Sus scrofa: one gene and its partners. The protein of the gene in region 1 purifies or fractionates together with the protein of each later gene. This does not show direct contact. Links are inferred from orthologs where the notes say so. Each region holds a gene or a part of one and is shown in the gene's direction. Other genes may lie near its edges. The genes, in order: VAPB, OSBPL9, WDR44, OSBPL11, ACBD5, AFTPH and ARHGEF12.

What was found.
Region 2: the proteins of VAPB (region 1) and OSBPL9 purify together in Homo sapiens (affinity purification with mass spectrometry; 7 studies listed by BioGRID and IntAct, counting the BioPlex papers as one, with this or other methods). This does not show direct contact. The link is inferred for Sus scrofa from reciprocal best matches to the Homo sapiens genes VAPB and OSBPL9.
Region 3: the proteins of VAPB (region 1) and WDR44 purify together in Homo sapiens (affinity purification with mass spectrometry; 4 studies listed by BioGRID and IntAct, counting the BioPlex papers as one, with this or other methods). This does not show direct contact. The link is inferred for Sus scrofa from reciprocal best matches to the Homo sapiens genes VAPB and WDR44.
Region 4: the proteins of VAPB (region 1) and OSBPL11 purify together in Homo sapiens (affinity purification with mass spectrometry; 4 studies listed by BioGRID and IntAct, counting the BioPlex papers as one, with this or other methods). This does not show direct contact. The link is inferred for Sus scrofa from reciprocal best matches to the Homo sapiens genes VAPB and OSBPL11.
Region 5: the proteins of VAPB (region 1) and ACBD5 purify together in Homo sapiens (affinity purification with mass spectrometry; 4 studies listed by BioGRID and IntAct, counting the BioPlex papers as one, with this or other methods). This does not show direct contact. The link is inferred for Sus scrofa from reciprocal best matches to the Homo sapiens genes VAPB and ACBD5.
Region 6: the proteins of VAPB (region 1) and AFTPH purify together in Homo sapiens (affinity purification with mass spectrometry; 3 studies listed by BioGRID and IntAct, counting the BioPlex papers as one, with this or other methods). This does not show direct contact. The link is inferred for Sus scrofa from reciprocal best matches to the Homo sapiens genes VAPB and AFTPH.
Region 7: the proteins of VAPB (region 1) and ARHGEF12 purify together in Homo sapiens (affinity purification with mass spectrometry; 3 studies listed by BioGRID and IntAct, counting the BioPlex papers as one, with this or other methods). This does not show direct contact. The link is inferred for Sus scrofa from reciprocal best matches to the Homo sapiens genes VAPB and ARHGEF12.

Annotation. Positions count from the first base shown.
Region 1 is NC_010459.5:58,594,364-58,598,335, forward strand, and holds the start of VAPB (vesicle-associated membrane protein-associated protein B), read left to right. Parts: upstream 1-1,172; 5' UTR 1,173-3,972. UniProt on the Homo sapiens protein: Endoplasmic reticulum (ER)-anchored protein that mediates the formation of contact sites between the ER and endosomes via interaction with FFAT motif-containing proteins such as STARD3 or WDR44.
Region 2 is NC_010448.4:160,412,882-160,416,381, reverse strand, and holds part of OSBPL9 (oxysterol-binding protein-related protein 9), read left to right. Parts: intron 1-662; coding exon 663-767; intron 768-3,033; coding exon 3,034-3,193; intron 3,194-3,500. UniProt on the Homo sapiens protein: Interacts with OSBPL11 to function as lipid transfer proteins.
Region 3 is NC_010461.5:96,984,788-96,988,287, forward strand, and holds part of WDR44 (WD repeat-containing protein 44), read left to right. Parts: intron 1-999; coding exon 1,000-1,636; intron 1,637-2,107; coding exon 2,108-2,238; intron 2,239-3,356; coding exon 3,357-3,452; intron 3,453-3,500. UniProt on the Homo sapiens protein: Downstream effector for Rab11 which regulates Rab11 intracellular membrane trafficking functions such as endocytic recycling, intracellular ciliogenesis and protein export.
Region 4 is NC_010455.5:134,742,351-134,745,850, forward strand, and holds part of OSBPL11 (oxysterol-binding protein-related protein 11), read left to right. Parts: intron 1-1,907; coding exon 1,908-2,083; intron 2,084-2,958; coding exon 2,959-3,038; intron 3,039-3,500. UniProt on the Homo sapiens protein: Plays a role in regulating ADIPOQ and FABP4 levels in differentiating adipocytes and is also involved in regulation of adipocyte triglyceride storage. Weakly binds 25-hydroxycholesterol. Interacts with OSBPL9 to function as lipid transfer proteins.
Region 5 is NC_010452.4:48,911,281-48,914,780, reverse strand, and holds part of ACBD5 (acyl-CoA-binding domain-containing protein 5), read left to right. Parts: coding exon 1-41; intron 42-3,218; coding exon 3,219-3,333; intron 3,334-3,433; coding exon 3,434-3,466; intron 3,467-3,500. UniProt on the Homo sapiens protein: Acyl-CoA binding protein which acts as the peroxisome receptor for pexophagy but is dispensable for aggrephagy and nonselective autophagy. Binds medium- and long-chain acyl-CoA esters.
Region 6 is NC_010445.4:77,351,372-77,354,113, reverse strand, and holds the end of AFTPH (aftiphilin), read left to right. Parts: intron 1-1,104; coding exon 1,105-1,252; 3' UTR 1,253-2,242; downstream 2,243-2,742. UniProt on the Homo sapiens protein: Component of clathrin-coated vesicles.
Region 7 is NC_010451.4:47,474,960-47,478,930, forward strand, and holds the start of ARHGEF12 (rho guanine nucleotide exchange factor 12), read left to right. Parts: upstream 1-1,171; 5' UTR 1,172-1,861; coding exon 1,862-1,893; intron 1,894-3,971. UniProt on the Homo sapiens protein: May play a role in the regulation of RhoA GTPase by guanine nucleotide-binding alpha-12 (GNA12) and alpha-13 (GNA13). Acts as guanine nucleotide exchange factor (GEF) for RhoA GTPase and may act as GTPase-activating protein (GAP) for GNA12 and GNA13.

The DNA of each region.
Region 1 (3,972 bases):
AGCAAGCAGTAATTGGTACCTTACTAAATTTATATTTATTGTTTACCATACGTCACAGTGCCTAGCACACATCATTCACCAATAAACATTATGTTTATAATAAGAATAAATAGTGTTTTCATCATTATTCAGTCTCTAAGTGCCTGGCACCGCACAAACAAGGGAAAGTGGAAGTTCATTCTTATTAATTATTATTATTGAGTAAAGCACTTAACACAAAGCCAGGCCCCCAAGGACGTTCAGTAAATAGTCTCCCCCGCGACGGCCCAAGACTCCCGGCGTCCCGGACCCGCCCCTCCCCGGGACTGCGCGGCGCCCCGCCCCCTGCCGCCCGGCAGCCCCGCCCCCACGGCCAGCGCTGCGCTTGCGCACTGCCCGGCAGGGGCTCCGCGCGCGCTCAGCTCCCCACAGCCCGAGCGCGCGCCCGGGCCGAGCAGGCCAGCCTGCTGCGTGCGTGCGTGCGTGCGTGCGTGCGTCGCTGCGTGCGTCGCTGCGTGCGTGCGTGCCGTGCGCTCGCCGGGCACCGCGGCCTCGCCCTCGCCCTCCGCCCCTGCGCCTGCACCGCGTAGGCCGCCCCCCGCGCGCACCCCGTCGGCGACCCCCGCCCGCGCCCCGGCCGGCCCCCCCTTTTCCAAATTTAAAGGGGGCGCAGCCTTAACGCTTCTCGCCCCAGGTGACCTCTCAGGGGTCTCCCCGCCTGAGGTGCCCCGCTGCCGAGGAACATGGCGAAGGTGGAGCAGGTCCTGAGCCTCGAGCCGCAGCACGAGCTCAAATTCCGAGGTAAGCCCGGAGGCCCGCCATCTTCGGCCGCGGGCCGGGCCCGCCGCCCCGCACCCCCTCCCGCGCTCCGGAGGGCCTGGCGGCGCGGCCGTGACGTCGGCCCCCGGCCCGCGGCCCCCGCCCGCTCCCCCCCGACGGCGCGCCCGCCCCGCGCCCCCGGGCCGCCAGGCGTCCGTGCGCGGGAGTCCAGGGCCTGCTCCTCCACAGCCTCCCTGCGCCTCGCCCTCGAGACACTCGCACAGTTGCCAGTGTAACTGTTCCTGTCCAGTGTGCGGCCTCCGCCCTGGTGTGGGCGCCTTCGCCGAGAAGGTTTTTCGCCTGCTCGGGGCATAGGTCAGCTGTCACCTGCCCAGGGAGGACGCCTGCAGCCGGTCCCCGTCGCATGTGTTCGTGGGCAGGTCGGCTCTTGCCACGACCTGGAAGGACCGTTTCCGCGCTTGTTTACCCTGCTGGTACACTAGAAGGGAAACTCCATGAGGACAGGACCGTGTCACGTCTCCGCTTCCTGCCCCGCACGTCCTAGGGGCCTAATAAATACCCGTTGAACAAAAGAGTGGCAGGAGCCTCCGCACACGTTCTGGCGGGACGTGGCCCAGCCTTCCTTGCCCTGCCGTCCTCATGCCCGCGGCTCACGTCTGTGCAGCGAGGGGGGCCTCGCAGGGCGGCGAGATCTTTTATCTTCCCAGAGGAAGCCCAGGGGGCCACGCGTGTTTGTGGCAAGCCAGAGCCCCTTGTAACGTCTGTCTTTATTTTCCGTCTTACCGCCCCGTCTTCTCCACCAAAATGAAAGTGCCAGGAGTCTCTTGTCTGGGACCTCATCTGACTTACCCAGTGCCATCTTTTCAAGTGCCTTGAGTAACGTAAGCTTGGCACTGGAGGGGGAGGAATGAGCCAGAGGGACAAGTTCCCCGATCTCATGCTGCGTACCTTCTAGTGAGGGGGACACACGAGCGCGCAAGCCTGGTTCAGGGAGTGGCACGTGCCGCGAAGGACCTGAAACCAGCCGGCCCTGACGAGCATCTGCTTAGACTGGACGCCCAGGGCCCTGCTGTATTGCCAGCACTTGGCTTACTGTAGGCGCTCAGTAGATGTTTGTGGAGTCGCACTGCATTCTGGCCACATGCACCCCACTTTAAATTATACTGGCAGGAAGTAGCCTAGGGTAACTTACCCAAACTTAACCCAGTTAGCACACATTTGAGCTCAGACTTCAGAGCTCACCCTCCTTAGCAGTTCTGCTGTCCCACCTCTGGGAGCTGTTCCAGTCCTGTGGCTTTACATTGCCTCCCAGGTTAACAGTCTGAAGTGACCCTAAATGTATAAACAGCTGAAGGGTGTCCAGTTAAAACCAAAACAGACCCCCTCAAAGACCTAAGGTGGATGGATTATAATTCCGCGAGAGAACTGGAGTTTGCGTGCTGTCCCGCTGGCCTGCTCCTCCAGGGTCCGGGCTGGGAGTGGAATCCCCGGATGGTGCTGACCATGAAGGGGATGGTTTGCACGTGAGGTGTCCGACGTTCTCTACCCCGCAAGCCTGGCTTCGCCGCTCCTGGGCAGCAGCACATTCCTTCATTTAGTCCGTAGACGTGTGCTGCTCCAGGTGTCAGGTACGAGGAGGCGAGTCACATCACAGGTGTGCCTCTCCACGCCCCCTTAGGTCCTGCAGAATCAGCCAGGACGGGCGAGGGTCTGAGGGAATTCAGAGTGCTCCGGGAGCCGGGAGGAGTCAGCTCCAGAAAGATGTGTCATTCGAGCTGTGTGTGAAGGTGGAAGGGAAGCAGGCCATGGGCAGGGAGCGTGGCAGCAGAGGGAACTGCATGTACAGTGGCACAGAGGCTGAGTAATGGGGCTCCTTTGGGATGGTAGTTCTGAATGACAGCAGCAATGAGCACTTGCTGGAGGTCACGAGGCCAAGTAGGAGACCAGGCTGGCTTGTGGACAGGAGTCAGGTCTTCTGTGGCCTCTGCCAGAGGCAGCCAGTGTCCACGTTCAAATTATGTTGTCTTCTCAGCCAGTTTTTTGATCCCGGGTAACCTTAATCCCACCCCCAGCATGTAGACTTCCTACAGTGATGTATAGAAAGAGGCACTAATTGGGGACTATTAAAGGTTTTGTCCCAGTTCTTTCACTTGAAGATGTTTGACCTTGGGCTGGCCGCTTCACTCTCCAGAGGAGTATTTGGTCAGCTGGTGTCATCCTTTCAGCTTCTTTACATGAACAGTGTGGTGGAGAAGAGTGATCTCTCTGGCCCAGGGCTGGCCAAAGCCCCTGGATATTTTTGCTAGGGAGGTGGTCCAGGAAAGTTGCAGTGTCAGATTGTTGAAGGCTGTTGGCTTGTGGCTTCAGAAAAGGCACCTGGAGGCATGTATAAACCAGTTTATGCGATTTTTTTGTGGGTTTATTTCTTTTTCTCTTTTCCCTTTATTGGCCATGCCTGTGGCCTATGGAAGTTCTCTGACCAGGGATCAAATCTGAGCCACAGCTGTGACCTGTGCCACAGCTGCAACAACATTGGATCCTTAACCCACTGCACTGCCTCAGAGGCAATGCCAGATCCTTAACCTGCTGTGTCACAGCAGGAACACCTGTTGGTTTGTTTTTAAACTGAGCACTAAGGTAGTGAAATTAGAATAGAGGTTCCGGAGTTTGTGGCACGGTGGAAACAAATCCAACTAGGAACCATGAGGTTGTGGGTTTGATGCCTGGCCTCACTCAGTGGGTTAAGGATCCGGCGTTGCCATGAGCTGTGGTGTAGGTCACAGACACAGCTCAGATCCTGCACTGCTGTGGCTGTGGTGTAGGCCAGCAGCTACAGCTCCAATTAGACCCCTAGCCTGGGAACCCTCTATATGCCGAGGGTGCGGCCCTGAAAAGACACAAACAAACAAACAAAAACAAAGAGGTTCTGTGTCCTGGCTTGCTGTTTCGGGATCATTCATTTCAGGATGAGAACTGGCACATACAGGTTACTCAGGGTGATGAATCTGACTTTGGATGGTTCGCTTAGATGAATCAAACTTGTCAGCTAACTTTGCTTAAGAAGGTAATAGAGGAGTTCCCGTCGTGGCGCAGTGGTTAACGAATCCGACTAGGACCCATGAGGTTGCGGGTTCGGTCCCTGCCCTTGCTCAGTGGGTTAACGATCCGGCGTTGCCGTGAGCTGTGGTGTAGGTTGCAGACGCGGCTCGGATC
Region 2 (3,500 bases), on another chromosome or scaffold:
CCTTAGGAGAATAAGCTTAATAATCTCTCATGAGACTAAAGAGGAAGTACTGTGCCCCATTTTAGATTTTACATGTGGCTTGGAAACATGCATGATAAACTGCTTGGAAACAGTTTATCATCAGAAGCATTTGCTGATTTTACAGAGCAGTTATACTGAGGTATTGGCATGTCTTGACTAGTCTCTTGATATCTTGCCTCTAGTGTCTTAGTACTAGGTAGCATATCGTTGAGCTCAAAGGGTATAGGAGGTCAGAAAGGAGTAGTGGAACTTGACTTAATGGAATATAATCTCAAAAATTATTATCTTTAGGGAGTTCCCATCGTGGCACAGCAGAAACGAATCTGACTAGGAACCATGAGATTGTGGGTTCAGTCCCTGGCCTCACTCAGTAGGTTAAGGATCTGGTGTTGCCATGAGCTGTGGTGTAGGTCACACTTGTGGCTTGGATCTGGCATTGCTGTGGCTCTGGCGTAGGCCAGTGGCTACAGCTCTGGTTGGACACCTAGCCTGGGAACTTCCATATGCCATGGGTGCGGCCCTAAAAAGACAAAAAAGACAAAAAAATTATTCTCTTTAGAATTTTGAATCCCACACAGTTGCAGTTAAAGAGTTGTGTTTGACTTTTTCTCTAACTTACTTCACGTGTTCATATCTTCTAGAACCTGCTCAGTTATGTAAATCAGAGCAGCGTCCATCTTCCCTACCAGTTGGACCTGTGTTAGCTACCTTGGGACATCATCAGACTCCAACACCAAATAGTACAGGTACAGACTTGTAAGATTCCTTCCCTTCTTATAACTGCCTGCTAACATTTAAAATTTGGTTTGCTTACTGATGGCAAAAAGATTGAAGAAAGGTTGAATGCTCAAGTTGGAGATACCATAGTCTTACCATTGTAATTACATTCATGAACTGGTTAACTTTGTGATTGAACCAGAAGCTTTAGTTATAGTTAAAATTTAAATGAAATAAAGTATCGCAGAGTTGTCTGTATTTGCTTACCTTCAGATTTATTTTGAGGATCTATATTGGCTTTTTAAAAAAATTTGCTCTTTAGACTTACACGCTTTCTTACTATAAAGCAATCAAACAATACAGAAGTATGAGAACAAAAGCTGTAAGTCTTCTTTGCTCATCTCTGTTGTTTGCATGCATGTATGTACATACATATCTATATTGTATATTTCTGTTGTCATGAGATCATGTGGTTCTGGGACTTTCTGTTTTCATTTAACTAAGAACATTTAGAGAGTTGTCTGTGCTCATGGAGTCTGCAGCATTCTTTTCATAGCTGCTCAAGTAGCTATTACCTGTTTTCCTCCTGATGGACTTTTAGGTTGATTCCAGTATTTTCCTATTGTAAATATCCGTACTTCAGGGAACATCCTTGTACAGTAACTTTTGGCACATACATTTTTTTTTTTTTTTTGTCTTTTTTGTCTTTTTGCCATTTCTTGGGCCACTCCCGTGGCATATGGAGGTTCCCAGGCTAGGGGTCTAATTGGAGCTGTAGCCACCAGCCTACGCTAGAGCCACAGCAACTCAAGATCTGAGCCCTGTCTGGGACCTACACCACAGATCATGGCAACGCCGGATCGTTAACCCACTGAGCAAGGGCAAGGATCGAACCCGCAACCTCATGGTTCCTAGTCAGATTCGTTAACCACTGCGCCACGATGGGAACTCCCACATATGTATTTTTTAAGGATAGATTTATCAGTCATGTTTTGCCAGTTTTATAGGCAAAAAAAAAAAGATCATTTCAATTTGCATTTTCTTGATTTATCAGACTTATGGTTTATATTTTTCTGTTTTTTTTTTCTAATTAACAGGGATGCTAACATTGTTTGCATAGATATTTATTTCTTGTTTTAAAACCAATTTGGTTACCAGTAGAACCAAACTCAAGGGAGCACTTAGTGCTTTCATCCCTGTTACATGTGGAGGCCAAACAAAACCCCTGTGGAGGAGGTGGGAGATAAGCCCCTGCTTTTGCTCTGCAAGTTCTTTCCTGGGAGGGACTTTGCTGTGTAATAATGAAAAGTTACTGTGATTTTTTCGCCCGTTGTGAAATTTACACCAGTAAAAGTGCTGATATTATTGCTTTGGTTTTTAATATTTAACAGCCTGAGCAGATGTTTTCTTAATTTTGAAAGAAAGCAAGCAACGACAGTTCTCATTTGAAGCTTTTGGGAAAATACTGATAAGCAGTTTGAATAATGAGGTTGAAATGTTTGGCTGACTTTTTTCTGTATTTCATTACATGGTGTCATTTTAAAGACGGTATCCGTGTTTTCTTTTTTTTTTTGTTGTTGTTGTTGTTATTGTTGCTATCTCTTGGTTCTTGGGCCGCTCCCGCGGCATATGGAGGTTCCCAGGCTAGGGGTTGAATCGGAGCTGTAGCCACCGGCCTACGCCAGAGCCACAGCAACGCGGGATCCGAGCCGTGTCTGCAACCTACACCACAGCTCACGGCAACGCCGGATCGTTAACCCACTGAGCAAGGGCAGGGACCGAACCCGCAACCTCATGGTTCCTAGTCGGATTCGTTAACCACTGCGCCACGACGGGAACTCCCGTGTTTTCTTTTTTATATAAGGAGGAATTATGTCAGAATTTTGAAACAGCCAAAATGTGTCCATTTGGACAAATCATGTTCATGTGATTTTTGATAGTCTTTCCATTATGTACTGTTGGCTTACTGCTGCATTTTTTAGGTATCTGCATAAGAGCTCTGGCTTCCCATTGGTAGTGGTGTCTGTTATGGGACTTCCACACCCTTAACTTACACACTGTGATTATTAGTGCCATGGGGACATGGCATTTTTTCATTTATTTTAAAAGGCTGTGTCTGAGTGGATGATGTGATTTGCCTTTTTCTTTGTCTAGTTTAAATGTTGGTTTTCTTTACAATTAGTGTAGAGACTTCCACCAACTTAAATATTTCTTCATTTTAGAAAGGTCTGCTTTGACCCCATCTCCCTTTATTACCAACATTGTCCCCTAATTGAAAACTTTTTAACTTCCTAGGCAGTGGACACTCACCACCTAGTAGCAGTCTAACTTCTCCAAGCCATGTCAACTTGTCTCCAAACACAGTTCCAGAGTTCTCTTATTCTAGCAGTGAAGACGAATTCTATGACGCTGATGAATTCCATCAAAGTGGCTCATCCCCAAAGCACTTAATAGAGTAAGTAGGTGAACTACCTATGAATTGGAATGATTCTCCTGATTTTTAAAAATGTAATTTGATTTTGAGACATGACAGCTTATTTATTTATTTATTTAGCTTTTTAGGGCTGCACCCATGGCATATAGAGGTTCCCAGGCTAGGGGGCCAATTGGAGCTCTAGCCACTGGCCTATGCCACAGCCACAGCAATGCTAGATCCGAACTGCATCTGCGACCTACACCACAGCTCATGGCAATGCCAGACTGTCAACCCACTGAGTGAGGCCAGGGATTGAAGCTGCAACCCCATGGTTCCTAGTCAGATT
Region 3 (3,500 bases), on another chromosome or scaffold:
CTGACAAAAGTGAGGTAGATCTTGGGTAAAAATTTGAAGATTGAGAAAAACTGATATATGGAATACACTGGGAAAGCAGGGAAGACTGTTACTGAGAAGCGTAATATCCAGTTCAACTTGGCATGCGTTTGTGATAAACCAGATCAGGATAGCTCCATGACACATTCTATTAACTTTCTGGAGCCAAAGAATTGAGAAACCAGAAGTCATCCATGGCTCCATGGTGAAAAGAGAAGTGGGCTTGGAGATTTAATAATAACAGGACTAGGTCAAAAATATATTTTTTTTCTAAATGCTGGCGGAAGACACAGAAAACCTCTCTGTGTTTTTCAGCTATAGATAAGAAATAAAAAGGAAAAAGGCAAGGTGAGTTGGGATTTGGACTCTTCATGGTCCTGCCATCTCTCTGCATAGCAGGGAATTAGCTGTTTAAGAACATTTATTTCCCTGCACCTGCTGGCTCTTTATGTCAGGCTTGAATTCAGAGCTGAACAACTTGAATTCGTGTGCAAGGTGGTTTTGACCTCATACTTTTGTTGACTAGGATCAAATCAGCAGGCTGTTGCTGCAGCTAACGTGGCATAAGTTTGTAAATGAACTATGGCATGAAGTATCTGAATGTAAATTCAGGTTTAAACTTTCTTCTAAAGGGTTGATTGAACTTTTGTGATTCCACATACTAAGACAGATTCCCTATCATAGTGGTTAAGAGTATAGTTTCTGGAACCAAACTCCCTGTGTTCATGCCAGCCTTATCACTTCCTAGCTTTGTGACCTTGGACAAATCACTTGATCCCTTTGTACCTTAGTTCCCTCATTTGTATAATGATGATAGTAAAAAAACCCACTATTTTGCAAGATTGTGGTAAAGACTAAAATACATAAAGTGTTAAGAACATTGTATGGCACATAGTAAGTACTATATAAATGATTGGCTGTTATTATGTTCTTGTAAAGAGCTTCACTGGTTTTTAAAACTGCTTTTTAACCTTTTATCAGATTATCGAAAGTATTATTGAAGAGAGTCAGAAAGTACTACAGCTTGAAGATGACTCTCTGGATTCCAGAGGAAAAGGACACTCTGATCAGGCTACTGCCAATCCTGTCGTGGCTGAAACAGATCTTAGCAATATACCTGTACTGTTAGCCATAGATCAAGTACTACAGGAAGGTTCCCAAAAGGCAGAAAGTCAAGATGTATCTGAAGAAACTGAAATAGAATCACAAAAGTGTTTTCCTTCTGATGATACATGTGAGAAGCCAGTAGATGAAACCACTAAGTTAACTGAAATAAGTTCAGCTGAACAGCTTAATGTGCCTGAAACTGAAACGGAAATGTTGAACAAGGAAGCAGTGGAAGTCAAAGAAAGCGATGTTCTAGAACCCGCATCCTCACACTCCTTATCTACTAAAGATTTTGCTGTTGTGGAAGAAGTTGCTCCTGCCAAACCCCCAAGACAGCTTACTCCAGAACCTGATATAGTAGCTAGTACAAAGAAACCTGTTCCAGCACGTCCACCCCCTCCAACCAATTTCCCACCTCCTAGACCCCCACCTCCATCTCGACCTGCTCCACCACCAAGAAAAAAGAAAAGCGAATTGGAGTTTGAAGCTCTTAAGACACCTGACCTAGATGGCAAGTATTAATTGAGAAATTAATGTTTTTGGGGGAAGGTTTTGCTGTTGAAACTGTTTAACTTTCTGGGTTGTTTTTTTTTTTTTCCAGTTTATGCTATATCTAACCACATTGATAACCAAATAAAACTTATTTTAGTAATAAAAAGTCAAAATGTTTACATTGGTGTTAAGTTACCTTACTGTAATTAAACATTTCAGCAGACTTTCAAATCTGTTACCAATCGAGAGCCAGTGTGGCGTAGTGAAAAGAACATAGGATTTGGAGACTTAAGATTTGAATTCAAGTCCTAGATCTCTTCGGATGTAAGCTGTATAGCCTTGAGGAATTTAAATAACTTATTTGAACCCTGGTTTCCCCATATATAAAACAAGAGTAATAAAATCACTTTCCTCGTAGGATTATTCTAAGAATCAGACAAATGTTAAAACTTTTCAAGCTATATAAATGTTGTTATTATTATTATTGCAGTTCCCAAAGAGAATATTACACCTGATACTCTCCTAACTACAAGTCTGGCTTCAGAGAGTACAGTCAAAGATTCTCAGCCTTCTCTTGATTTGGCAAGTGCTACCAGTGGAGATAAAATAGTTACTGCCCAGGTTGGTGAATTCATGATATATTTTATATAGGCTTTCTCAACTTCCTGCAACTGGCTGGTTTGTTTATTACTGAACCTTCTTTCTTCTCCAGGCCAAATATTTCCTTGTCTCTAAAAAACCTGACTACCTTACATCCCTTGTCCAGCTCTGCTACCAAGTAGTGGGCTGATTCTCGCAAGCTGTTTTACATCTGAACCTGAGATGTCCCGTTGATAAGATGTGGGGGAAACCTTCCTTAAAGATTTCTTGCAAGATCGAAATTTGCTGAAGTATGCCAAGTACCTGGCATGTAGTAGGCATTCAAAAAATGACAGATGCTACTATATGTAATATTTCTTAATAAATACCAATTACAGTCTTCATTTACCTGACCTATAGTGGTGAAAATTAGGGGCTTTTATTTTTTTATAATTTGCTTTCCCTAATCATGAAAAAAAAAAAAGCTTCATACACTAGGCTGTGTATCCTTATATGAGGCAATAGAAGGGACTTGGTAACATGAATTTTTACCACCACCAAATTTTGGGACTCAGGGGTTACTTATGTGTTAGCTGTGGTTGCGGCAAGTTAGCAGACTGGAAACTAAGACACAATAGTCTTGTCAAAGCCTTAGCAGTGGCCTGATTTTTGTAGGGTCCCCATACTAAGAATGGTCTTTATGTTTTTAAAGATTTGTGGTTTTTTTTTTTTTTTAAAAGACTAGACAACAGACACTGTATGTGATGTAAAAAGCCTAAATAAAATATTTATTATCTGGCTCTACAGAAAAAGTTTGCTGACCCCTGCCCTTAAGATAATCACGTGTATAGCCCTGATTAATGACAGTCTTAGTGCTGGCATTCTACTAGTAGAGAACTGCTTTTGGGCCAAGTTCAAATGGAACATTTATTTGCTTTCAAAACTACTAAAATGTTATTTCATGAGCAGCAATGCTTTTGGTACCTAATGTTTTTCAGCATGCTGGGAATAATCAAGGACTGAAATGGAGTGTTCCATTTAAATTTTCAGTAGGCACCATTATCTGTATTACGGATATTATACTATGTGCGGTAAGGAATAATAGAATATTTATAGAAATTGACTCTGTGTCCTTTCTGTTTATAAAATTATAATTTCAGGAAAATGGAAAAGCACCTGACGGGCAGACAATAGCAGGTGAAGTGATGGGTCCTCAGAGACCCAGGTCCAACTCTGGGAGAGAGCTTACTGACGAGGTATAATTAGATTTTTTGTTGTTGTTCTTGAAAATGTAAAGGTCATAA
Region 4 (3,500 bases), on another chromosome or scaffold:
ATGGCAAAAAGACAAAACAAAACAAAACAAATTTATTCCTCACAGTCCTGGAGTTTGGAAGGCCACAATCATGATGCCAGCCTGGCCAAGTAGAGGTCCTCTTTTGGATTGCAGACTTCTCATTGTATTGTCACATGGCCGAAAAGGGGCAGGGGAGCTCTCTTGGGTCTCCTCTAAGGGCACTAATCCCATTCATGAAGGTGTTCCACCCTTGTGACCTGATTGCTTCCTAAAGGACCCATCTCTTACTATCATTATTTTAGGTGTTAAGATTACCACATAAGAATTATGGGAGGGGCACATTCAGATCATAGCAGATTACTAAGTACAGGTCACATGATTTAGAAATTTAAGATGATTTTAGTGGCTGTTTTTGTGTTAATGAATAATCCCTTCAAATCTTAGGGAAAATAATGTTAGTCCTTTTAAAAATAGGCAAAAATGTGAGGGGCAGTTCACTAAGCAGAACTACATATGGTCAATAAGCACATGAATGTTTAACTCCTCTAGTAAAGAATTGGAAGTTTAAAACAAAAATACTAAAATTACTTTTATCAAATGTAATTAGTGTAAGTGAACATAATTTTAAAAATCACGAATGTGCTAAAAGATGAATAAGAAAAACAATAGTCTTTTGCTTTTCCATCTCCCTTTTCAGGCAGCCGCTTCCAACTTTTTTTACTTGCTTCTCATCATTTCTTTTTCTTTCTCAGAATAAAAGGCTGATTCCATTCTCTCCCAGTTTGATATGGTTAAGCTGTTGCTTAAGACAATATCTTCTAGGCACTTGAACTGGATCAAATTGTCTACCTGGTTCTATTACAGAACACACTGACAGGTAGAATGCCAAATTGCCCTAAACCCAAACATTACTTTTTTGAAACAGAAACTTTTTAGTATTTTTTCTAAAGAAAAGAACTATTACACTACTTAAATTGGAATCTGAATTAATATATTTCCTAAAGTAGTTATCTAAAACCGAATCAGAACATCAAATTCTTTTCCAAAGTGTATCAGTATTTCATTATTTAGTTTCAAGTTCCTTATTGCTTCTGCATCTCCTGTTGCAGCTTTTTCATTTTTAAACAGGATGAGTAATCTTTAGTTGTGACCTATTTAATGAATGATACATTTACAAAATCTTTGTACTTTGGCATTATTCTTATTATTTATTCCACTGATTAAATCTTAAATCAGATTCATGTCTTACCTAGCATTTGTTAACCTCAGAGCTCAGGTTTTGATTTGTTTCCAATGAATTTTAAATAAAAATTCTCTCTACCATTTGTCTTTGGGCCACTTACCTTCCCTCCCTGTTAATGAATTCTGGGAGGAAATCTTCCTTTGAAGGAATACTGTATCTTTGTTTCCTTTTTTGCTTTATCTGGTATGCCACTTCCCTGTCAAATGTCTCTTTCTCAGCTCGCAGTTTCATGTCTTTTATGAAACACATTGAATTTTCAGTAACACTTACTGCCAGGAAATTCAGACTAGTAAGTTTCTAAGTACTTCTTGAAATACTTTTGAATTTTTTTTTCTTTTTTCTTTTTAGGGCCACACCCACAGCATATGAAGGTTCCCAGGCTAGGGACTGAATGGGAGCTACAGCCGCCGACCTTTGCCATAGCCACAGTAATGTGCGATCCAAGCTGTGTCCTCGACCTACACCACAGCTCACGGCAACGCTGGATCCCTGACTCACTGAGCGAGGCCAGGGATCAAACCTGGGATCAAACCTGCATCCTCAAGGATACTAATCAGATTCGTTTCTGCTGCGCCCCGAAGGGAACTCCTGAATTTTTTTTTTTTAATAGCTAAACATCCAAAGTTTATGATTAAAATTTGGTTTGCTTTAGTTTGACCAGGGGAAATATTTTAAAATTATGACTTTTTTTCAATCATTACAGGTTTTTTGTTTTAAACAATGAAGCTGGGCTGTTGGAGTACTTTGTGAATGAACAGTCTAGAAATCAGAAACCCAGAGGTACTTTGCAGCTTGCAGGAGCTGTAATCTCACCCAGTGATGAGGACTCTCACACCTTCACTGTAAATGCTGCCAGTGGGGAACAGTATAAACTCAGAGGTATGACTGAGATATGACAATATGAGAATTAATAGTATGATTTTCTTCTTCCCTTGAGAAGTTGGTGTACTTCCCTGCTTTCATTTAGGTTTTGGAAATAGAAACTGCTCTCATTGATGATACAGACACCATATTCTAAACCTTGGAATTGCTGTAAGGATTTATGTAATCTGTTTTAATTAATACTTTTTTTTTAAGTGGCACAGTGCTCGAATCTGTTTAAGATTGGGCCCTCTGAGAAATATGTGTAGGATAAATCCTGATTATTGAGAAATCTAAAAAGACAGACTTCTTAAAATTTTTTTAAAATGTCTTCCACAGAGTTATATTTTACCTCCTTTCCTGATTTAGTTGGTATGCTTTCTTTGTCATTTTTAGTGACTAATGTACATGATTGGGATTTATTAAAATGCTTATATTTATTAAATGAAGTATAACTTCTGTTTAGATAAGTTAAATTTATATAGTTTATGTTTTTATGTAATTAATACACATAATGTATAATGACAATCCTAACTGAGCATGCTGCTAGAGAGCTTAAAGAATGTTTTGAGTACACATCATATGGTTTATACAGGTTATTTCTTTAAAGAAGAGCATATTTTTATGAGAAAGTAAAGACATGTCAATCTTATATACCCACCTAGCTGTGTGTAATTTGTCCTCCATATGAAATATCCACATCCAGCTATGGTGTTACCTAATATGGTTGATACTTTGGCCTCTTTCCATCCTTCCTCTGGTCAGGGACATTTGCTCTAGGGAGAGAAGGACCAATCATTGATTTTCAAGGCTATATTCTTTATGCTGTAGACAATTCATTGTATTCTAAAAATAAATATAAATGTGAATAACTTGTATATACTTTTTATTAGCCACAGATGCTAAAGAGAGACAACACTGGGTTAGCCGACTTCAGATATGTACGCAACACCACACTGAAGCTATTGGCAAGGTATGTGGATTCATATATAATATTAATGTACAAAAATGAGGAAAGTTTTTTGGTGTGGGTTTTCTTTCTTTCTTTCTTTCTTTCTTTTTTTTTTTTTTGGTTGTAACGTGCAGCAGCTTGTTGTGGGATCTCAGTTCCCAGGCCAGGGATCGAACCCAGTGGTAAAAGCACTGAATCCTAATCACTAGACCACCAGGGAAATCCTAGGAAAGGTTTTTAACTTTACTGTTTTTGGAGTTCCTGGCGTGGCTCAGTGAGTTACAAACCCAGCTAGTATCCATGAGTATGTGAGTTTGATCCCTGGCCACACTCAGTGGGTGAAGGATCAGGCATTGCCATGAGCTGTGATGTAGGTTGCAGACGTGGCTCACATCCCGAGTTGCTGTGGCTGTGGTGTAGGCCAACAGCTGCAGCTCTGATTCGACCCCAGCCTGGCAACCTTTTTTTTTTTTTTTTTTTTTT
Region 5 (3,500 bases), on another chromosome or scaffold:
AAGAGGAAGCCATGATTGCATATGTTGAAGAAATGAAGAAGGTAGGGAAAATAATTAGCAAAGAAAATAAAAATTTTCAGAACAGCTTTATTTAATTTTGTTATCAGGCAAATGAGCTGCTTTGTTTTAAGGAACAAGGAGATTGTAACATGTTAGAATATAGAATATAGATAAATATTGAGTTTATTAGGCTTTATCTTTCTCATCAAAGTTTATCTTAAGGTAGATATTTTTTCCTTAAGTTATATCACATTGTGGTGACATGATACTTCGGTTTATATTTTTTTTGTCTTCCCTTTCTCTATAGGTGACTTCTGCAGAAAGTATATTAGTAGAACTTTTTTTTTTTTTTTTTTTGCTTTTTAGGGCTGCACCTGTGGCATATCGAGGTTCCCAGGCTAGGGGTCAAATCCAAGCTGCCGGCCCCAGTCAATGCCACAGCTCACAGGAACACCAGATCCTTAGCCTACTGAACAAGGCCAGGGATCAATTCCACATCCTTATGGATACTAGTCAGGAAACTGAGACACAATGGAAACTCCCAATAGGAATCTTTTAAAATGTTGAGGTCCCTTAGGAGTCTGGGAAGTACTTGAGCTGTCTCAAAAACATTTCTGCTTTGAAACTTTTCATCTATGAGAAATGGGTAACAAGGCTGCCCAACATTGTTCTCATACAAGTGTTGCCTCATAAATTGAGATGTTCCTGTGCTAGGGCTTCTGCAAGCATTTTTCTGTGAATGCAAAGATCCTTCAGAAGCAGAATAAGGATGCTTTTAGTTTCTCTTGTAACTACTAACGAGGGCATTCTTTATAAACTAGCACTTCTGTTAAAAGAATTGTTTAGAGGAGCAAATTGATGAAGAAATCATGGATTTTTAAAGATGATCTTAGTGCCTTTGTATAAAGGACGATATGTATGTTGGTGAAGGATCAGAAGTTATGAAATCTAGATCTGTTTGATAATCCTTTTTTTTTTTTTTTTTTTTTTTCCCGTGGCAAATGGAAGTTCCCCTGGCTAGGGATTGAAGCCAATTTACACTGCAACTGCAGCAACTCAGTATACTTTAACCCACTGTCAGCAACCTGAGCCACTGTGTCACAGCAGGAACTCCTTTTTTGCTTTTTGTTTTTTTTTTTTTCTTTTTTTCTCTTTTTTTTGTATTTTTGCCTTTTCTAGGGCTGCTCCCATGGCACATGGAAGTTCCCAGGCTAGGGGTCGAATCAAAGCTGTGGCTACCAGCCTAGGCCAGAGCCACAGCAACGTGGGGTCTGAACCGTGTCTGCGACCTACACTCAGCTCACGGTAACGCCAGATCCTTAACCCACTGAGCAAGGCCAGGGATCGAACCTGCAACCTCATGGTTCCTAGTTGGATTTGTTAACCACTGAGCCATGATGGGAACTCTGCTTTTTGTTTTACGATAATCTTAAATAAATTGTCTTTCAACAAAAAGAAAACCTGTAAAAAAGGGTAGTTTTTTGCCAGATGCTTTAACAATATTAACCTCTATAGTAATTTTTATTTGGTAGATTCAGACTAATTTATTTTGTTTTAATCTCTTCTACACAGGTCAAAGTTGTGCCCTTTGTTACATTTTCACAATTTTTGTTTAGTGGACTTTGTTTGGAATAGAGGGCAGAGCTTAATTCTTTCGGCTGTTTTTGCTGTATCAGTAGCAAAACAAAGGAGCCTTTCAAAAACAGAGAAAGATGTAAAACTTTGTTTTGATAACATTCTTTTTTTTTTTACCTTCAATATTGTTATAATCTTTCCCTATTTCCTGCATTTTAACTCTTTAGTGGTAATTACTTTTAATTATATTTTGTGGAGTGATTCAGAAAAAAATATATATCCATATTTTAGAGTATATATACATACATATATATCTTCTATTATTTTAAAAAGAAAGAAAACTAATAATGATGTCATATTAAACTTACTGTGTGGCAAGTAGCTTTTTGCCTGTGGAAAAATTTATGGGAAGTTTCCACTGTGACTCAGCAGGTTAAGGACCCTATGTTGTCTCCATGAGGATGCGGGATTGATCCCTGGCCTTGCTCAGAGGGTTAAGGATCTGGCCTACTGCAGGCTGTGGCGTAGGTCACAGATGTGGCTTGGATCTGGTGTTGCTGTGGCCGTGGCATAGGCTGGCAGCTGCAGCTCCCATTCAACCCCTAGTCTGGGAACTTGCATATGCTGCAGGTGTGGCCATAAAAGAAAGAAATATTATAGGTATTTTTCCACTCAGCACATACAGAGCTAAACATAGTATTTTTAATATCTGCAAAGTTGTCCATATATAGAAATACTTCACTTTATTTCGTCAGTCACCAGTTGATGGCTATTTATTTGAATGTTTTTCATTTAATTTACCTTGTTGTTTAAACATGATGATTCTAAATTGGCCCCTAGTTATGAAGGTTTCTGAGAGTGGTTACCACTTCCTAGTTAAGTATCCCCCCTTCTTTTTTTCTTTTTAGGGCTACACCCTTGGCATATGGAGGTTCCCAGGCTAGGGGTTGAATTGGAGCTGTAGCTGCTGGCCTACGCCAAAGCCACAGCAATGTGGGATCCAAGCTGTGTCTGCAGTTTACACCACAGCTCATGGCAATGCTGGATCCGTAACCCATTGAGTGAGGCCAGGGATTGAACCTGCATCCTCATGGATGCTAATGGGTTCATTAACCACTGAGCCACAACAGGAACTCCCCCCTTTCTTTTTTGGCCACACCTGCAACATGAAAGTTCCTGGGCCAGGGATCAAACCCACACCACAGCAGTGACCCAAGCCACTGTAGTGACAATGCCGGGTCCTTAACCCTGCACCACAAGAGAACTCCCTTCAATACCTTTTTGAAAACATTACCTTGGTGTTAAGAACAGACACAAATTTTCCTCTAAGCCCACAGTATTCTGTTTTATTTAACATTAGTACTTTTAAGTGTTTAATGCATCATCTATAGACTATTGTGTAAAATTTTACACAAAGCTTATGTAAAATAGTTTTCAAAATGAAAACACTTTAAAACCTTTAATACATTTGAAATTCTTACAGGAGAGTATATACGTTAAGTATATAATTGACTTTGAAGAGTCTATAAAAGAACTTCAGATCTCAGTTATCAATAAATAAATTATAAATATTATATTATTTGGTGCTAGCAAGGATTACATTAGTAGCTTGTTTTCACAAGTTTTGTTTCTTTTGATTACAGATTCTTGAAACTATGCCGATGACTGAAAAAGTTGAAGAATTGCTACATGTCATTGGTCCATTTTATGAAATTGTAGAGGACAAAAAGAGTGGCAGAAATTCTGATTTAACTTCAGGTTGGACTCTTTTACTTAGTTTTAAATTCAGCAACAGATACATTACTCACGCATTAATATTTATATGTCAAATTTTTTTTTTTTTACTTTCACATGCTAGTCCGGCTGGAGAAAATCTCTAAATGCTTAGAAGGTAGGAATGATGAAATCTATGGAAAACTTTTGTT
Region 6 (2,742 bases), on another chromosome or scaffold:
GAATGGATGTGTTCTTACGTATAACTGAATCACTTTGATGTACAGCAGAAATTATCGTGACATTGCAAATCAACTATATTTCAATAAAACTTTTTTTAAAAATAAAAATAAAAGCCTGCATCTATGTTTCCTCTCTTGTTTCATCTCCTGAGTTCCTGCTGCTCATCCTAAAGGACAAAGAATATTTAGGTGGAAGAAATAACTTGGGTCACACCTAACAGATTACCAGCTATCCTTTACCATGAAAGGGAAATTGAGCCTTTTAGAGTCAACGATTTTAAATGAACTTTGGTCTAAAATTAATACCTATGACTGCAGCTATTCTTTCAGTGTACTTAACACCTGGAAAAAATAAAGATTGGATTACAGTTAGGTACCCAATTTGAGCCACATTTGAGGCTCAGTTGGCATTTTCTGTGGCTCACCTGCCGTGCTCAGCCCCACACTGCCCACTTGTTACCTTAGGGGCACTTCATCTACAGGACCCATTGGATTTTGAGATGTCTCCTCTTCCTGAGTCCTTCCTGCCTGTGTACATTCTCTGCATCAGCAGCTGGCCCTCGTGTTGGCCCCTCGGAACCTGCCAGCTGCACCCCGGTGGGGCAGAGGCTGAGTATTTTTGAGCTGAGGGCTTTCTGTCCTGGAATTCCCCTTTAGGGATGAAGAAAGCCTGAGGTTAAAATGACTTACAAGATCTTGTGCTAGACGCATGTTGAGGTAACTTTGGTAGTTTCTTGGGGTAGAGCAGGGGGAAATCCAGTTGGGCGGAGTGTTCCTAAGTCTTCGCGTTATGTCTCTGCTTAGTACCATTTTAAAAGTGCACCTGGGTAGATGCTTCTAACCTTAAGCAGCTGTGAGCTGTACACAGCTGTATGCGAATGTCTCTATATACAAGCCCAACTAAATTAAATGAATTAAATTTGGTGTGAATCTTCGTAAGAAATTTGGCCTCTAGCACAGGAAGCACTCGAGGTCAGGAACTGGCGGAGGAAAAGGTAGTCAGGTCCCCACCATGGCTCCCTACCCTGGGAGTAGATTTTTATCCCATTTGGCTTACAGCAAAGTCACGTGAACACCCTTCCTTTTTTTTTCATTTGTCAACAGGAAACCGAAAAGAGAAGAGCACCTGAGTGAGGAAGCCATCAAGGTGATCGCCAGCCTTCCCGACCTGACGTTCATGCATGCCAAGGTGTTGATGTTCCCCGCCACCTTGACACCTTCCACAGGCTCCCAAGAGAAGGCAGACGGATAACTGGTGTGAAGTGGACACTATCAGTTGCTTTCCCTTCTCTCCACCCTTCCCTACCATCAAAAGCATACCTGCTCTAATTAAAAAAAAAAAAGAAACTCAAGTTCAGCTGATTTGTTGGTAAGCCGCACTAGAAAGGTATACATAGTAATGTATATTTATTTACATACTGAAGTCGTAAATTTATATTAGAAACAAATGTAAATAATCGGGGGTGAACATTTTTGAAGATTTATTCTTTTTGTGTTGCTGGGGTGTATACATTTATGTCTTTGTGAAATACACTGGTGGTGTCCTTCTTACAAAACTTTTGAAATAAAAAAAAGAAAATTAAAAACTCAAATCTCCACTGTCTGAAATCCCTTTCAGTTTTTTCAGATTGCATTGACTGTCCTATTAATTTTTCATATCCTATGTTGAATTACTTTTGCTATCATAAATAAGCTCTATGTCCCCATTTCATTTTTTTTTTTAAATTTATGTGTGGTGGGTTTGTTTCAGATCTGGCTTTTGTTACCATTTTTTGTGCTCTTTTTTAATCTTTTCAATCTGGCCTTCTGCTCTTTGACCTTTTGCAAGGTACTTCATCGACTGCTCTCTTGTTATAGGTTATGGATCATTGTCAGAATTTGATTGGAGGGGTTTAACGAGATTGTGTCTGTTTTAAATCAGTTTGGTTTTGAGAAGGACCAAATTATATGAATGTCTTACAATGAAATTTACTTGTTACTGATTTTTTTTTGTTCTACCATACCACTATTTTTTGAGGATTTTGCACAGTGTAAAATGACATAATCATAGATTGCTATGGTTTAGGCTGTATATACAGTAAAAACTATGGGTTTTAAATGTTTGGGGAAATTCCTATGGAAAAAAGAGAGAGACATGTAGAAGAACCTCTAACAAGGTTAATGTGCATGCCCAAGGTCTTTTGAGATTTCAGTGTGTAAATTTCCTTTTAGCTTACACAAAAATAAAATACTTTAAAAGAAATTTAGCCTGGCGTCTGTACTTTGGTATCTGAGGGAAAAGGTAACGAATTTGGACATTAAGTTTTATTTCCTCCTAATGAGTTTCAATCCAGAGAAAATGATTTGGTAGGGCTTCCATTCCACTGTATTAAAACTAAGAAGAATTAGAATCTCACCCATAAGAATTGGAATCAATCCTTTTAGTAGCTGAACTATTTTTTATGTAGAACATGAGATCATACAAGAAATTCCCATGACTCATTATAATGTATCTTCATCAGAATTGGCCAAGTTGGTTAAGAGATTTGTAGGGATTTTTTTTTTCTTCCCAAAAAATATATGCATGAAATTAAAGTGAGCAGAAAATTTCTTAAAAGTAATTTTTAAATATTAGGTTAGATACTGCTTCAGCAAAAAGTCACATGATATATATATTTCATTAGATGAGGCAGTCAGCCCACAGCAGTCTCCCTCATCAGCCATGGGAATGATCCATTGGAACTCTTTTGCACTTCTGTCATT
Region 7 (3,971 bases), on another chromosome or scaffold:
TCTTCAAAGAGAACTGTAAAGCTATTTACTGGATAAATATACTTTGTTTTTTGCTCCCATTTCTTTCCACAACAAGCTTGTTAAGTCGCTGTGGAAAGCACCATGCTTGCTCAATTTGGCAAATAATAACATTTCATTTTGCCAAGGCAGGAGCAGCAGCCTAAAAGCAACACTATACGAAGAAATCCTGGCTCCAGTTCCCAAACTCTGTCGTCTCTCCAGTCCCATACACTTTCGTCCTCCAACCCTCCGTGGGCAGCCAAGACTTGTGCGCGGCGGTCCCTATCCTGGGAGGAGGCCAGCAGGTGCCCCAGGTGAGCGCCCAAGGCCAAAACTTCTCTGTGCTGGGGTTTGTTTCACAAACGATGGAACGGTGTCCGTGCATCCGGACACGAGTTCGCTTCCATCGGCCCAAAGCAGTCTATAGGGTTCTCCGAAAAAAAGAACAAGTATGCTCCCTTTAAAGACTACAAGTTTCCAGGACGAGAGGGTGGGTAATTTCTAAAGAGCTTCTTCTCAATTCCTCTGGATTAGGGACGTGCTCTTTGGCGGTCCCTGGCGAAAACTAGACTACGAAGTACAGATATCCGGCACTCGCGCGTTCCTGGGGACGGCAGTGGGTTGGCGAGTGGGAGTCCCGGGACCAGACCGTCCCCACCTCCCTCCGCTCCGCCGAACTACTTTTTCGTTCCCCCCAACAAGACGCTGGCGGAGGCGTCCGCGCGGGTTGACGCGCAACCGCGGTCGGCAAGCGGGGGCGGCGCGGGCGGCCCCGCGCACCGCGGAGGGATCCCGGGTGAGGCGGCTTCCCGAAGTCAGAGGGGAGGAGGCCAAAAAAGTCGGCGGGGGAGGGGAAGAGTGAGCTCGCTCGCGCTGGACGCTGCCGGGGCCGGGAAGACAGAACCGGAACCGGAACCCGTGCGCGCGCCCGCGGCTGTCGGGCGGCCCCCCACCATCGGCGGCCTCCTCCACCCGCCGCGCGCGCCCCCGTGAGGGCCCCACAACCCGGCGAGCCGGCTCTGCGCTCCGAGTCGCCGCCGTCGCCGCCGCCGGCCTCCGGAGCCGGTACTTCCAGGCCGGGCCGGACGGGAACCTCCGCCCCTCGCGGGAACCGCCGCCTACCGGCGCGTCGGGGAGGAGCCGCTGCTGCCGCCGCCTGTGCTGACCGCGGAAGAGTCGGGGCCTCCGAGGGATGGGTAGCAGCCCGCGGCGCTGAGAAATCAGGTTCCTGTCACCTCCGGCTGCGGGATCCCCTCCCCCGGCTCCCGCACTCGTCCCGGGGCCCGGAGCCTGGTGGGGGCGGCGACGAGGACGAGAGGGGTTCCCCGGCCCGGGGCCATGGAGCCGCGCGCGCCTGGCGCGGGGCGGCCCGAGACGCGGCCGAGACTGTGGCCACGAGCGGCCGGCAGCCCCAGATAGAGAGCGGAGCCCAGCGGGCCGGGCCTGGAGGCGGGGACTTGCAAGCCCCCGAGACCGCGGAGGAGGAACCGACACCCAGCCCCGAGCCGCTCCTGCCCCGGCCCGGGAGTGACTCCCGGGCCCCCTTCCCCAAGGCTCGCCGACTTCTCTCCGTGACGAAGTTTTCTCCTGTGACTTCCCGAGGATCGCTCTCTAGCTCTAGGACTCGCCTTCTGGCGGACTTGATCGGTTTATTTTGGGAGATAACTTGCCTCGCTCCCATCTCCATCCCCTTTCCTTGACCCCTTCCAGTCGGACGTTCTAGATGCCTGAATGGAGTTTTGAGTTGGACTCTTGTGTCCCTTACGGAGTCGGGCCTGATCCCAGAGCGCCGGGGGTGGGGTGGAGGTGTTACTGTAAAATGCAAGTTGGATAAAAGGAGGACCTCTCGCCAAGGGCCCCAATGAGTGGCACACAGTCTACTATCACCGACAGGTTGGTATGAAGCTCACCCTGCGCTTAGCCTCCCTGGTTGGGGCCCGACCTAGCAGGAGAGTCAGTGATTGTCGAGTGCCTTTGCCCAGTGAAGTTGACAGGCATCGCACAGAGGGTTGTTTCGGAGCTCTGCAATTAGCCTGGGGTTGCTGCCAAGTTCCCCGGTTGATTGAATTTAGAAATGTAGGGTTGTTTTGTTTTGTTTTGTTTGTTTTTTTCTGGAGAGAAACTTTTCTCCAGATTCTCGGAGGAGGGGTAGGTAAAGCCATGATTGTGTTTTTCTGTCGGTAGTTTGCATTAGGATTCTGTACGGATCTTGGGACCAGAGGGAGGTCATTTTGGGTGAAGGTCAGCGCCCGAAGTCGGCTGGGGTATTGGTGCATCATCGCTTGTACTTCTCTCGTGTAGTCCTATAGACACTGCTTCAGTTTAGGAATTTTTTTTTGTGAACATTGTGAAGCTGCCGCGTGATTTATGAGTTTGATATCCTTTACCTATTGACTTGCACGGTGTTGATCATCTTAATAATTTTCCAGAATATTGGAATTACTAGTAAATCCTAAGTACCTGGTAGGGGCAGTTATCAAGGAACCATGGGGCTAGATTTTAATTATTGCATTTTTAGTATTTCATCTTCCAGAAACATTTGCATTTAAGGAGTATAAAGCTTAAGCGAATTATGTAGTAAGGCTGGCAGGTGATTTGCTGAGTTGGGTGCGTCCTTTGTAGTATGTACCTAGGTTACTTGGTGGTGGTTGGTGAATTGAACTAGACTATTTGTGGTTTAAGTGGAGTTCCCTTACTCTTTAGTTATTTGGAATATTAGGTTTAACGATAAAAGTATATTCTTTTACTATATTTTGTTTTTCAGTTTAATGATGACATTGCCATAATTATCCAGGTCCCAAGTTTTCAGTCAGCTTTTTTTTTTTTTTTTTTTCTGGGGAGGGGGGTCAACCTTCAAACTAAAAAATAAATGAAGTAAGGGGCTAAAGAAAGCACTTTGATGAATACAACATTAGTGGTGCTCAAAAGGTAGTTTAATTTCATAATAAGAGAGTTTTACCCAATTGTAAGACTCATTTGTTGATTTTAAAAGGGCCAAATTCCATTATCATACCATAACAGATACTCCAAAAACAGAATTTCCTCTTCCTGTTGATGCTTTCCGGTATCACGTGAATGTTCACTTAAAAGAGTCCATTAAATGTTTAAACTATTTTTTGAGTTTTTTTTAATGCATTTTAATTTTCACCTTCTCTGAGAGTACACTTAACATGAATAGCAACAATGCTTATTTTGATATCCTCAAGTTATTCCCATTCCTTTTCCTCTCAGGTTATTTTGCCTCTGAGAAATCATTTTCTTGGGTGTGTGGGTAATTGTTTTTCTGGTTCATTCAATTCTTGCTTTCTCTGTTGAACCTGTAGAAAAGTCTTATTAGGTACTAATGTAGTCCTACTAGTTTTCATTGCAGTAGTAGGAGCGTTTAATTTTGTAGAAACAGAACCTACGGTCACCAATTCATTCTATGTGAAAATCTCCTAAAAGCACCCAAGTAATGACCTTTCTTCATCTTTATTTCTCCAATTTTCTTCCTCTTTCGTTATCTTAGAAATAAGGTCTTGGGGTTTTTATCCTTTCTATAACTTAGATGAGATATAAATATACAATAAGCATGCAGTTAATGCATGTTCTTTGCCAGGTGCTGTGCTGGGCACAAAGGATTAAGAGATGAGTATTCCAAGTATAAGATGAATCTGCAAATTGGTTTGGGTATTAATATCCTTGAATTAGTTCAAGTGCTGCTTGATTGTACATATTTTCAGAGAGGAAACTTTAAACACCACTTAATATGTATTTCTGAGACAGTATGTATTCGTGTTTCTTTGGAATTTACTACTAGTTTGGGGTTTTGTTTTGTTTTTTTTCATAAGAATTGTTCATATGGGAGCATTACTTTTTCTTTAAATATATCTTATTCTGTAAATATCACTCCTCTGTTGGCTCTTAGGAGAGTAGTTGTCCCCGATTTGGATATATGTTGGGGTGAAATCTGAAAGTACTGGTTCAGTATT